Astyanax mexicanus: one gene and its partner. The protein of the gene in region 1 interacts with the protein of each later gene in a pairwise test. Links are inferred from orthologs where the notes say so. Each region holds a gene or a part of one and is shown in the gene's direction. Other genes may lie near its edges.

The links.
Region 2: the proteins of znf277 (region 1) and gngt1 interact in a two-hybrid assay, tested with the Homo sapiens proteins (3 studies listed by BioGRID and IntAct). The two-hybrid records come from large-scale screens. The link is inferred for Astyanax mexicanus from reciprocal best matches to the Homo sapiens genes ZNF277 and GNGT1.

What each region holds. Positions count from the first base shown.
Region 1 is NC_064417.1:35,275,606-35,283,841, reverse strand, and holds the start of znf277 (zinc finger protein 277), read left to right. Parts: upstream 1-4,546; 5' UTR 4,547-4,594; coding exon 4,595-4,628; intron 4,629-8,236. Other genes in the region: dock4 (dedicator of cytokinesis protein 4), read right to left, coding at 4,240-4,276. UniProt on the Homo sapiens protein: Probable transcription factor. Involved in modulation of cellular senescence; represses transcription of the tumor suppressor gene INK4A/ARF, perhaps acting via the Polycomb group (PcG) complex PRC1.
Region 2 is NC_064410.1:48,607,947-48,614,804, forward strand, and holds gngt1 (guanine nucleotide-binding protein G(T) subunit gamma-T1), read left to right. Parts: upstream 1-4,916; 5' UTR 4,917-5,003; intron 5,004-5,124; 5' UTR 5,125-5,127; coding exon 5,128-5,223; intron 5,224-5,567; coding exon 5,568-5,693; 3' UTR 5,694-5,951; downstream 5,952-6,858. UniProt on the Homo sapiens protein: Guanine nucleotide-binding proteins (G proteins) are involved as a modulator or transducer in various transmembrane signaling systems.

The sequences.
Region 1 (8,236 bases):
AATATTAGTAAGTTCTAAATATTTCGTGTCATTCTCGACAGTATCAGTTGGAGGTACAAAATTACAGCAAGAAAAAAAAATAGAACATTAACCAAGGCTAGTGTCAACAGACTCCAAATTCTAGATACATTATATCAGACAGTACCAAAAATGAGACACACAAGCCCCTCTGATAGTAATACAATTAATAGTTAAGTATTAAAAGTTTATTTTAGTAAAACATAATTAAACTGATTAATTTTAAATTACAACTCTAAGGTAAATTACAAAGCTGAGGCACTAAACATTTGCTAATATAATAGACCCATATTTTATTCACAACAGAACTTATAACACATATCAGATGTTAAGTCAGAAATAACTGCCTAAGCCAGTGCAGTGATTTCCAGTACACAATCATGTCTGGTTTTAATGGAGTGCCCCCCGAGGGCCCAAAGATCACCAGTATCCAATATTCACAGTTGGCACTGTGCCTTGAGCACAGAGATTATTCCAGATTTTCAGAATCTGGAATTTTGTACTGTAAATAGTGGGATATCTAGTCTTCACTATTTGTAGACTTCTGAACGACACTGTCTCACTTAAATGGTCTTTTTATACCAAGCCATGTGATTTAGATGCATATTGTTCCAATTTCATCTGTTTTTTCTATTAGTCCCACTTGCTTTTCCAGCCTTTTTTGCCCCATCCCAAGTTTTTAATCAGTTTGTATTTTCATTAAATAGTAAAATGTCTCACTTTCCACATCTGATATCTAATATCTGTTCTATTGTAAATAAAGTGTGGGTGTTTATACACAGCATCCCAACTTTTTTGGAATTGGGCTTGTACTTGATTATCAGTGTAACTGACAGTGATATCCCTAAACAGCCTTTAGTATGAGCTGCTTTCATTTCATTTGAGATGGTTTCATATGAGCTTGTCAGAGCTGCTTTACCAAGCTGTTGTCTGTTCCAGGACATGTGGTCCGGCCAGCTGAGAAGAAAATTCAGAACAGTTTTTAGAACAGAACGAAGGTCCGTCATCATGGAAATTCATGCTGTTCTGTTTACAGAAACGTGTACTATTTGATGACGGTTTTACAATGTACAGCAGATGGCACCTCAAGCTGAATATGCAACCAAGAGAAAAGAGAAGCCAAGATTACAGTGTGTGTGCGCGTGTGTGTGTATGGGTGTGTGTGAGAGTGTAAATGTGGGTGCCCATGTGTGAATTTCTGCATGTGTGTATGTGCCATTCCCCGCTGGACTCCATCCATATTTCATGAATGATAAAGGTTTCTGTAGCTGTGTGCACCTTCCAAAGAGCAGTGCTCTAATACGCACACATTTCTCCATATCCCACCCTAATGGGCTCTGTAGCCTTTACCACTCACACAGCCAGCCACCAGACAATCCTCCAGCTCATTATCATCCCCAGTCCACAGCAACTTCCAGAGCTGGCATTATAGTATAGAAGGGTATCATTATCAGGCTGATATTCTAGATTGGAGTTTAAAATGGTAAAAAGACTGAATCTGATCCAGTTCTGCAGCAAATCTAGCTGTCTCTGTCCTTCTGTGGTGCGACAAAGTGTTCGACTTTTGTATGCAAATTTTTGAGAGAAGTGCTTCAATTAAAAATAGCTCACTGAAAGAACTGGTTTTACACAACTTCTGCTATCATATAAAAAACCCAATCCATTTATACATATTCAGTGTCTAGATTTAATTTCTTTCTTTCTTTATTTTTTTTGCACTGGAGCTGCAAAGCAAATGTAGCTAAAATACACAGATTTAACAATTATTTTAAATAAATATATAATCAATATATAACATAAATAAATAACATGCCCACACACTTTTTTACAGCCTAAGTGATGCTAACAAGGTTGACATGCTAGATCGGATATTGGAAGAGAAAAAGATAACATTGATTATGTAAAAACTACACAATGTCCAGTTTTATTTTTTTTTTAAGATCTGAAGTTAATGTAGATAACTCTATGAGTCAACAGTCACCTACACTTTTTTTCTTACTTTTTATCACATACACACAGACTCCTTTCATGACAAATCGCATCAACTAGCCTGTAAAGCATTAATGAAGACATACATGTGAGTGAACAAGTATTTGAAATGTATATGAACACTATTAACCTCTAGAGTTAAAGCTAAAAATGTTGGCTTTGCAGCTCCAGCTTATCCATACATAAAATTTGGATACTGAATCTTGCTTTACTGATCGACTACATCCATGACAAATAAAAAATTGCTAATATGACTGTTTACCAAACCCAGTAGAATTTAGCATCTTCTCTTCTATGACAGACAGAGTTCTGCAGTTTACACAAAGAGATGCAAGAAGAGCTGCTGCTGATGATGATTTTCTCTCAATCTCTTCTCCTTTCTTTTATTTTCTTTTTCCCTTTTGAGAGACATTTATATTGTTGGTCTCTCCAGCTTTTGTTTGCTCTGCACCCCTTCATGCTCGATTTTCATTTTATATTGCTCTTTTCCTCTCATTTAAACCACACTGTCTGAATCTGAAACATTATATCCTTTATCTGTTAGATATGAATGTCAATTTTAACCAAAAAGGCTTCTATAAGGAACAGGAAAAAACACATATGGTTTTGTAAATAACCATACTATAAATAAGATATTTTTAAGGTTTGCCATAATAATAGTTTTTTTCTAGAGATGGGTCCGAGGCAATAGCAGATTAGAAGGTCTTGACAATCAACATCTGAAACTTTCTACAGTGAGCATGCTTAGAAGTACATGAGATAAAGCAATTTTGGATTCTGGCTCAAATGGATTCAGTAACTAATTCCTCCCAAACTGTCAGAGCCTAATCTGAAATGGGTCAATGAACCCATGTTACTGTAGTGTGCAGTTCAGTATAGCTATGCCATGCAGAATTCTGAGTCCTCTGACTTTTGCTGCCACTCAGCCCACTTTAGACTCAGCAAGATGCCTAGGTCCACTTGCTTGCCCGCGGGAAATGGCCACCCAGATTTTGATGGATTGCTCATCTGCCCTAGTACTCGCATCTGACAAGATTTATCTCTCAAACTGTCATCTACTGTCACAACAAAACCAGCCTGGACACTAAAACAAAACATAAGAACTGCTTGTATGCCTTGAGTTTTATAAACAGATGGGGATTTTTGATGATTTCATGACCTTTTTGATAGTGGAGGGCACATTTGATCCAAACTTCGCCACACAAGAGTCACATGAGCGTCACACACAAGCACACAAGCACAAACAAACACACACACACACACACACACACATCACCACCACTATATATGTACTGTATGTACATAAACCATTACATATATAAAGCTCTGGGAAAAAAGAGACCACTTAAAAATTATGCGTTATTTTGATTTTACCCAATTGAATTATCAGACATCAAACCAAGCAGAATTGCTTGAATTTTGGCACTAGGAGTGGCATAAAGTTATCCAAAAGCAGTGTGTAAGACTGGTGGAGGAGAACATGCCAAGATGCATGAAAACTGTGATTAAAAACCATGGTTATTCCACCAAACATTGATTTCTGAACATTTTGAATATGAACTTGTTAAGGTCTGAAAGCTCTGCATCTTTTTTGTTATTTCAGCCATTTATCATTTTCTGTAAATAAATGCTCTAAATGACAATATTTTTATTTGGAATTTGTTCATTTTTCTCAAACAAATACCTATAAATAGCAAAATCAGAGAAAGTGATTCAGAAACTGAAGTGGTCTCTTAAATCATTCTCAATATAAAATGTTTTGGGTATATATTGGTCATTTGTATGTATACATTAAAACATACAAACAAATAAAAATAATAATAAATAAGGACAAAGAAAACATATATATATATATATATATATATATTATTCTAGGCGTACAGAGGGTGGGGGCTTCTTATTTGTATTTAATGACCACGAAACAAGATTTCTCCGGATTGCAGCATGTGCCAGTGATTAAACACCAGTACAATCAAACAACCGGACATAAACCACTGGAAAAAATACCACTGCAACCAGTCTGCAGTCTAATTTAAAATATTCGATCTCAATTCTGTTAATCGATGATCACTGCACACATTTCTGTCAGTCAGATCCGGAGCGCTGTATCACACGCAGAGCCCCAGGGTGCACAGATTCCCCATCTTATCACTATCATCACACCTGCAGTAATCCACCTATTACAACTCACCGGTCCATTATAAAGAGACAACAATGAAAACCCAGACTTACCCACGCCATATTTTTCGTGTTCAGTCGGTATCCACATTTTTCCCGCAGTCTAGCGAATAAGAAGCATGCTATAAACCGGGGTAATGATGATCAGTGATACAGTCCATATTGTTGTCCCATTGGCTTTGGCTGTATTGTTCGGAGCGCAGACGCGCAGCATCCCACATAGCTACAGCACATTTTCCCAGCCCCGTAAAAAAACAGGGAGGCTGGGCTTCATGGGAGATGAAGTATATGAATGACAAATAGAAGATTTTTAAAAACTACAAGGTCCAGAGCTCTCAGTAACAGGATCGGAGCGCTGTGATTGGCCAGCTCGCAGCTGAGCGCATCACGTGACTCTTGTTTCTTGGAGATGGCTGCCCTGACGAAGAGCCCAGAGTTAGCAGGTAGCGTTAGCTGGCCTTCTGCTTTCACCATGAAACACTGTTTATTCTCTTATACGTCTGATTCACATGTTAGCGACTAGAACCACACGATAACACAGGCTCTGGCTGCTCGGTTATTACTGTTCAGTGTTAAACAGAGAGAGACAGATAAGACCGAGTGTCTGCAGCAGTGAGAGTGAGGGAGTGAATATTAAATATGTGTGTGTGCGGGTGACAAGGGAATATTCAATGTTTATTTATTTTTATTTTAATTAATTAAAAAATGCTGAAACTGATTGCAGGTTACAGATTTCACAACTGAATCAGAGTAAAGTAACTCTAGCTATATAGCTACATTATTAGTAGGTTATATGATTAACAAGTGACAGTTTAATGTGAGTCGCGTGTGAGAGAGTGTAGGAGGGACTGTGTATAGGAGTGAAAATGAAGAAAAATGTAGTTAACGTTAAATGGTGGAGTAAATATGAGCAGTGAGTCAGCGAATAGAGGAGTGAATAAAAGGCTTGTGAGTGAAGCCGTGAGTTTAATGTGTGTGAGTCAATTGTGGGAAGGAATAATTGTGTACCAGTGAGGGTAAGATATGTGGATAAATGTAGGAGTGTATATAAGGTGTGAGTATTATATGTTGGCGTGAACATAAGGTGTGAATGTGGGAAGGAGTGAATGAGTGGAACATAAGGTATGGAAAGTGAATGTAGGAGTGAATATAAATCACTATACGATATGCAAGAAAGTGTAAGAGTAAAAATATAGTGAGTGATTGAATGAAGAAGTGAATATATAGGGACTGAGTGAATAAAAGGGGTAAGTGTAAGCTTTATTAGCCAATATAGTGTATGTAAGAAAGTCTAGGAGTAAATATAAGGAGTGAGTGAAAGTAAGAGTGAATTAAATGGATGAATATATGATATATATATATATATATATACAGGTGAGGACGATATTATTAGCCCCCCTATGAAATTTTAAGTCTCCTCAAGATTCTGGCAAGATCCTTTTTAGCAGAGCAAGGCAGTTCTAACAGAGCATTTCTGAACATACAATTTTTCATTAGAAGGACCAAAATATTTATATTTGTGCACCAAAATATTATTTTGTAAGAATAAGCTAAAATGACCAGGGACATTATTATTAGCCCCCTTTAAGAAATTAACATTTATTAAGTCATCACACAAGCCACTTTTGTGCAGTGATGTGCTTTACCTTCTCAGGTGATGTGCATAAAGGTGATCAGGTGAAACAGATGACTGCACTCAATTAAGTTAAGTTAATTAACTCATTTAAGTTAAAACATGGTATAAAAGCCTCATTATGGAGCTGGCAGTTGAGGAAGCAACATGCCAAAAACAAAGGAAATCAGTTTGGACCTGAGAAAAAGAATTATTGATGCACACAAAGCAGGAGAGGGATATACAAAGATATCCAAGCGTTTCCAAGTGTCAAGAACTGGAGTGAAAGGCATCATTCAGAGATTCAAAGACAGCAACACAGTGCAGAACAAGCCTGGCAGAGGTAGAAAGAGAAAGATTTCAGAGAGACTGGAAAGAATACTAGTGAGAAATGTGTCTAGAGACCCCAGATTAACTTCCAAGGCACTGGCAAATGACTTGGCCACATCAGGAATCATAGTCTCTAAGAAGACCATCACTAGAGCTGCACAGGAATGACCTGCGAGCGTGCAGACCAAGAAAAACTCCACTTTTGAGGAAGAGGCACCTTCAAGCAAGACTAAAGTATGCTCGGGACAACCTGGAGAAAAATTATTCATACTGGAAGCGTGTCTTATGGTCTGATGAGACTAAACTAGAGCTCTTTGGCCACAGGGACACTGCTTATGTTTGGAGAAAAAAAGGACAGGCATTCAACCCAAAGAACACCATCCCCACAGTGAAGCATGGTGGTGGGATTATTATGCTATGGGGATGCTTCAGTGCATCTGGAACTGGAAATCTTGTCAAGGTGGATGGAATCATGAATAAAGAATAATATGTGAATATTTTGAAAGAGAACCTTAAGCAGTCAGCTGTGAAACTGGGTCTGAGACGTCATTTCATTTTCCAACATGACAATGATCCTAAACACACATCCCTCCTGGTGAAGAACTATCTCCGGATGACCAAAGTGAATGTCATTGAATGGCCTGCACAAAGCCCTGACTTAAATCCAATAGAAAATCTGTGGGGTGACCTAAAGAAAAATGTCCATGCAAGACAACCATCGAATCTAGAGGAACTTGAGAGATTTGCCAAAGAAGAATGGGCCAGGATTCCTCAAATGAAGTGTGAGAGACTTGTTGTAAACTACAACAAACGTCTGCAGGCAGTAATCCAGCAAAAAGGATACACAATTAACTATTAGGATGTGGGGGGCTAATAATTTTGACCCAGATAGTTTTTGTGTTTTGTGTAATATCTTCATTTCTGAGTGGAATACAATATAGTGTAAGCATCCAAAATAAAACTACGATGTCTAAAAAAGCTGTGTTTAGTTTATTTTGCTCTGGTTAATATCACTTGGAAAATCCTTAGAAAACAAGGACTATTTTGTAAGGGGGCTAATAATATCGTCCTCAACTGTATATATATATATATATATATATATATATATATATATATATATATATATATATATATATATATATATATATAAATCAATATAAGGTATGGATAAAAGTGTATATATAATAGAGAGAGGGAGAGGGAGTGAATATAGGAGTAAATATATTGAGTGAGTGAATGTAGGAGTTAATATATACGATTTATGAATCACTATACGGTATGAAAAAAAAGTGTAGAAGTAAATATATAAATGAATGTAGGAGTGACTTTTAGATAGGGAGTGTATGAATGTAGGAGTAAATATATAGAAGGTGAGTGAATGTAGGAGTGAAAATATGGGTGTATATAAGATTTATAAGTCAATATAAGATATGTAAGTAAGTGTAGTAGTGAATATCAGTCGCATTGTATGGACCTATTCAATTTATTTATTTTTTTTAAGTAACTGTACAGTTACAGTAAATAGTACTGGAAAGGCTTTCCACTGGATTGCTGAACATTGCTGTGAAAATTGCATTGCAATCAGTAAAATAGCTTTAGTGAGGACAAGATGTTCACAATGCTCACTCCACTGCTCATTTCAAAAGTAATAGTACAGTTCCACTGCTTCACAACAGACAGTCCTCATTTATTGTCAGTACTTTTCTGCATGGATTAGAAAATCTCTGTGTGTTTACTTCCATGTACACATCTGCAGTGGCTGTATCTTAAACTAGCTAAATCTATTCATGCATGTTAGAATGGGTGTACACAAACATTTGGACATATAGAGGCAGTTTATTAGACAGTGTTGTGGCCCAGTCTTGGACTACACAAAATTTTGAATGTAGATTGTCCACTGAAAGGCTTAGTAACATGAGGGATTATGAAAATTGTGTAAAAAGCAGTTAGAAGAGTGATGTTGAAGTGAAAGAGATTAAGTGTTAGAGTGAATATGAGGACTGTGCATGAATAAGAGTCAGGGAGTGGGTGTACTGTGGTTTCAGGTTCTGACACAATGTGTAGCCCACTGCTCCACTCCACTCCCTCCGTGGAAAACACATGGAATTA
Region 2 (6,858 bases), on another chromosome or scaffold:
TTGTACGACTACAATCAAAAAGCTTTTATTACTTCAAGTAGCTAAAACTGTAAAATCCTATGTTTAACAGATTAACCATTTCAACGACGAAATAGGTTGAGTGCCAGCTGGGAATGATGTGGGGTTGATGCTGCAGTTGGTCTGCAGGTCTAGGTTCAGCATCAGTATGTGCTGAAAGAATGAGGTCAGCTGACTACCCGAATATACTGAATATAGACCAGGTTATTCCATCAATAGATTTTTCTTCCCTGATGACACGGGCATATTCCAAGATGACAATGCCAGGATTCACGGGGCTGGAATTGTGAAAGAGTGATATAGGGACCATCATAATTTTCGCACATGGACTGTTCACCAGCTTCCAGACCAGACCAGAGTCCAGACCTTAACCCCATTGAGAATCTTTGGAATTTGCTGGAGACGGCTTTGCGCAGATCAGATTCTACCATTATCAATGCAATGATCTTAAAAAAAATTTGCAACACTGGATTGAAATAAATCTTGTGACATTGCGGAAGGCCTAACGAAACAGTGCCACAGTGAATGCAGCTGCAATCCAAGCTAAAGGCGGTCCCACAAAATATTACAGTGTGTGACCTTTTTTTTGGTGGCAACTTTTTTTTTTGGCCTGGCAGTGTATTTTATATATACCCTGCATTTAGAACTAAAGTCAACACCACACTGTAATCAAACAGAAATGTTGAGTGTAAATCAACAAAACAAACAAAGCAACAATACGAATTCCACCCACTGAACATAGTGACATAGTGGGTGTGACATACAGAGCACCCTGATTGGTCCATTCTTGTGCTCAGTAGACCAATCAGGGTGCACTGTATGTCCATTACTGGCTGCATCAAGAAAATTTTGCTACTCCTCCTCTCCTCCTCCTCCTTTCCTACTCCTTCTTCCCTACTCCTCCACTTCTACCCAGAAGAAAATTGAGAAATTAAGGAGAGGAGGAGGAGGAGGAGGAGTGGAGAGTAGGAGCTGTGATTGGGGGAAATGGGACAGCTAAACTCTTTCAGATATGATGTTGACTACTGATTAACTGAGCCAATCACAAGGCTCGCTTTCAGCTTACCCTCATACTACCCAGCCGATCACAGCTGCTGCAAACAGTCAGCACAGATACGGCCATCCTTTTAATTGCCTTTTCTTTGACATGGAGGGTGGAGGTTTTTGCCGTGTTCATAGTGCTGCCTAGAGCTCATTGTTCTGTATGAGCCCAACCCAACCCGCCACATAAACTGTCATCACCCGTTTTAAACCCCACATTTTTAGTTAAGTAGAGCTGTGGGTGCCTGTACTTTCTGATTTCTGCACCTCAAACATCCATGGAGCCTGCCCTGCATGATTACGAAAAATGTGTGGTGTAGCAATTGGGCAACGTGCCAAGCTTTTCATTTTAGCCGTGTAAATGGCTGCAGCTACAGACAAGTGGAGGAGATTGTGTGCACACTGCATAGGCCAATGCTTACTTTGCTATACTGTGATTATCACGCCGTAGCTTTATATAAAGGAAAAATAGCTTTTTAATAAAACAATTTAATAAGACTATTTTCTTGAACTCGACCCAACAGAGGCCGGGGTTCAGGGCAGGCATCGGATCAGGACAATGGTGGACAGGTGGTGAAATAACACACTTTTAAAAAGATGTATAAGTTTAATTTCAAGTTGTCTAAAATATAATAAGCATTCCTTTAAACAATCCTTTAAGAAAAAAACCCTTTGACATCAGTAACATTACAACCTTCATACTGTTTTATTTATTCATAAGACGCTTGGATTCTTTTTGATTGTATGTTTTAACTTATCTTGAAATTACATGTCTGTGTAAATCACATGTCTGTGTAAAGCTGCTTTGTGAAAACATTTCTTTTAAAAAGCATTATATAAATGCTTGGGTTTGTTTGTGGATGAGGTGAGAGAGTGATCACCTGACACTGTCACCTCACAAATGCTCTTGTCACTGAATTCTATAAAATCCTTATAGCAGTGCTCCAAAATTTAGTAAAAAGTCTTCCCTGGACAGCAGAGACAGTTACTCCACAAAAGCAGGATGAACTCTATTTTTCCCCAGGAATTCAGAAGAAAAAAATAAGCATGTGTCCCAACACTTTTGTCCATACAGTGTATATTCATACATTATGTAATACCATCTGTGCAAATATTTTTTGTATAAAATAACAGCAATATTCCATGTTACAGATAAATCAGATTTTGTAGACCAAAAAATTTAAATGTAAGTTTTATATGGTAGTGAAAAAAAAGTAATTGTTGCCATATGTGTAAAACAATTGAAGCAGTAAAAGGTTAAATACATGGTGAAATTTCTTAAGCCTCAAAGTGGTTTCAAAAGTATTCACTGACCACTCATTAATCTTATTTCAGAGAGCAACACCCCTGAGACCTGACACAACAAAATATTACAGAGTCTCTTAGGAAACAGCATTTAGTAATAATGTGTTCATTAAATGTCACTGGTTCCTCGACACACCCTGGCCTTGTTTCACGTGCGTTAGCTTAACGTAATGATTCTACATCAGCCTATAGCAGGACTCAGCCATCAGCGAGACATTATGAAAGATAACAAGTGCAACCACTCTTCCCGCCTGAGGGAAGCAGGCCAACATAAGCAAATACTGAGGATATGAGTTATGAGTCTCGACATGCTTGTTGATTAGAAGAGCGAGGAGAAAACGGAGTGCTTGTTTTTTTTTTAAGTTTTGACATACTTTCAATTTGATAAGCTAAAAAAGGATATTTTGACTCAGTCAGCTACGCACAGAGGAATGACTTAACCGCTGTAATGACGTTTTACACTTTCACTAATGCCAGGGAAATAGAATATTTGAGTCAGAAGCGGTCGTGTCCGAGTGACCACACTGTATAAAACAGCATTACGCCACATCACCAACACACCTTTTAAACCTTGTGCTCTGTGAGTAATCAAAATACACAGACAATGAAACATAAACTGTTATCTTACTAAACTATTATCTTGAATCCTAGACTTACTGTTATTACTGTTATCACTGTTACTGTAATTGTAAGATCCATTACTCAGTATCTACTACAAATTATTCAATATTTATAAAAAAAAGTATTATGTATTTTCTATAAACAATTCAGTATCTACTGTAAGTGATTCCATACCTACCACAAACAATTCAGTATGTACTATGAATTATTCTGTTTCTGCTATAAATGATTCAATATCCACTATTAATGATTTATATATACTACAAGTTATTTATTATCTGTTATAAATGGTTCAGTGTATTCTATAAATGATTGAATCCAAAGCTAATTTTGTACTTGTAAGACCCATTACTCAGTATTTACTATAAATTATTCAGATTCTTCTATAAATGATTCAGTATATATTATAAATTATTCAGATTATTCTATGAATGATTCAGTATGTACTATAAAGGATTCAGATTCTTCTATAACTGAATCAGTATGTACTATAAATGATTCAGATTCTTCTATAAATTATTCAGTATGTACTATAAATGATTCAGATTCTTCTATAAATGATTCAGTATGTACTATAAATGATTCAGATTCTTCTATAAATGATTCAGTATGTACTATAAATGATTCAGATTGTTCTATAACTGATTCAGTATGTACTATAAATGATTCAGATTCTTCTATAAATGATTCAGTATGTACTATAAATGATTCAGATTCTTCTATAAATGATTCAGTATGTACTATAAATGATTCAGATTGTTCTATAACTGATTAGTATGTACTATAAAGGATTCAGATTCTTCTATAAATGATTCTGTATGTACTATAAATGATTCAGATTCTTCTATAACTGATTCAGTATGTACTATAAATGATTCAGATTCTTCTATAAATTATTCAGTATGTACTATAAATGATTCAGATTCTTCTATAAATTATTCAGTATGTACTATAAATGATTCAGATTCTTCTATAAATTATTCAGTATGTACTATAAATGATTCAGATTCTTCTATAAATTATTCAGTATGTACTATAAATGATTCAGATTCTCCTATAACTGATTCAGTATCTGCTATTAGTGATTTAAAATCTACAATAAAGTACCCTTGTTTAAACTCACTATTGATTCACTATGTACTATAAATTATTTTGTATGTTCTATAAATGATTCTAAATCTACTAATTATTCAGTAACCATGGCTATTAATAATTTCAAATCTACTTCAAATGATTCTGTATATTCTGTAGAATATAGTATCTACAGTTAATTATTATTTAAAATAAATCTTTTTTTTATATTAGTACCCATAGTTAATTTTTCAGGATCTACTAAATATTTCAGTATATTTCATAAATTAAGTGATTAAGTATTCACTATAAATGATTTGGGATATACTATAAAACTGATGTGTGAAATTTAAGTACGGGCCAACATACGGGCATGTAGGGTTTAAAGGATTAAAGGAGTAGTTCACAACAAATCTAATGTACCCAGTTTTCCCCCCAGTTTTCAGAATGAGCACAGAGCACATGTCACAGGCATAGCTTTTATCATGCCACTCGTGGTCACTGTCTGGCCAGAGGGCACGTCTCCCTCATTCATTTCTTGAGGGAACACATTTGTCATATTAAGAATGATGATGTATTATCCAGCGTGATGGGTTGGGGGTAAACACAGATTAGCTTGCTCAACATAGAAGCCTGTAATGCCCTGTCCCCTTGACCCACATTGATACTGTGATATTAACATTGAGAAGCCACTCACATATTAACCCTGGCCATAAATTAAAAGCTGTGAAGCATTTAAAAATATATTTAAAAGGCCAAAAACAGTAACATTGTCATTACATTAGAGTAAAAAAATACCTGAAATAAACTGCAAAATAAGAGTGCTTGTTTTAATAAGATTAAGAGATTACAATGTTTATACAGATTACTTTATAACCCGGATTGAGAGACAGGCGCAGGATTCTCTGGCCATTTTCAGGGTGGAAAGGAGCTCACCGTAAGCAGCAGTAAGTTTGACTATCATTGCTTTAATGTGAAATATAATACTGTTTCTTTAGCCTTGGTTTGAAATAATGTGCAGTATTTGTTGTTGTTTACAAATTTGTAATTTAGTTTCTTTTCTTACAGAAAATGCCGGTCATAAATGTAGACGATTTGACGGACTTGGATAAGGCAAAAATGGAAGTAACTCAGCTGAAAGTTGAGGTGAAACTAGAGCGAGAAAAGGTAAGGTCTGGGTAATTATATATTCATGATCAGCTGTTGGTGATGTAAAATAAATAAATAAAGATTTTGGCACCTAAAGGTTCTTTTTGGAAAAAAAAGAGGTTATTCTACACTGTTAAACAAATAAGAATAAACTAGAAAGCTTCAGGTGGTCTCTTTAAACTTTTTGCTGAGGGTTCCTCTAAAGCACTTTAAGGTGTTCCTTCACAGTTTTAAATTAAAAACCCCTAAAAGTTTCATGAGGATTTTCCATTTAGTTCTGTAATTATGCATTACATTGCATTATACTTGATACTGCATATTAATATTGAATAATATTATTTTTGCCCTTTTTATTTGGTCAGGTGTCTAAATGCTGTGAGGAGGTCATGGAATACATTCAGGCAGGTGTAGAGGAAGACATCCTGGTCAAAGGCATTTCAGAGGAGAAGAATCCATTCAAGGAGAAAGGTGGATGTGTCATTTGCTAATGTGGACCGAGGAACACCCCTACCTTTTACTCTTTAGACCTTGGGTACTGTACATGGACACCTGCTACTGTTTAATCATAGCTGGAATCTTCGCTGCCGCCTGAGACAGGGGAAACACAATGAAGGATAGATACTGAAATTATTCTAAAAGGCTTGTTTTACTCTGTAAATAAACCCCCTGGATTTGGACCCTCTCACAACTTGTGAATTGTGCATTCCTCTGTGAAGTGGTGAATAAATAAGAATGCATTTGTGCAATGATTGTCAAAGCCTGGTTTGATGAAAGAAGCTTGTTTGATGTATTTTTTTGTCTTGTTAAAATACAAATTATGATCACACATTCAAAATATGGCATAATTTTTGTTGATGGGGAAAATGTTCTATTTTTTTGTTTATTTATGTCTGTGCATATTGCAGTTTCGTAGTTATGGAAAAAAATGAAGGATCCCCAACATTTTTCATTCACATGACTGTGGGAACTGTCTGACCCACATATGGTTGTAATCCATGTTCTTCTTCTGACAGTTTTCTCAGCTGTCTTGATGTATTGCTTTTGGTCTCAGTTTATTTAGATAGGAGATTATATCTCCCTATAGATCATCAACATCTACAGATGTTCAAATTGTTAACAAACAATCTTTTGAAACTCAGCTGTCTTTTAACAGTGTAGGGGACCTTATAAAGCCCAGACTGCAGGTTAGGTATACTGTAGGTTGTGGGTTGAGATTTAGTTGTGTAAAATATTTCTTTTTAGGATCAGGTTTAGAGTAGGGGGAGGCATAATCATAACATCTTTTCATATCATGATAAATTATTTTATTGTGATACACAATATAGCTTTCTTAAACATCAACTGTTTCATTACAAAGAGTGTAGTTTGTCATAGTCTGAGTTTTTAATTGACAGAATCTATATATGATGCATTTAATATGTATGTCAAGTATTGTGTATAATGAAAATATCACAATTAAACAATATGATACAATATTTTAACCATATTGCCCCACCTCTAGTTTAGGATTTGAATAAATTCAGCTAAATGGAATATATATATTATTTGAATATACGTTAAAGGTAAGTTAAAAAGTTTAAATTGTGCTAAAGTAATAAAACATGAATATATATATATATATATATATATATATATATATATATATATATATAT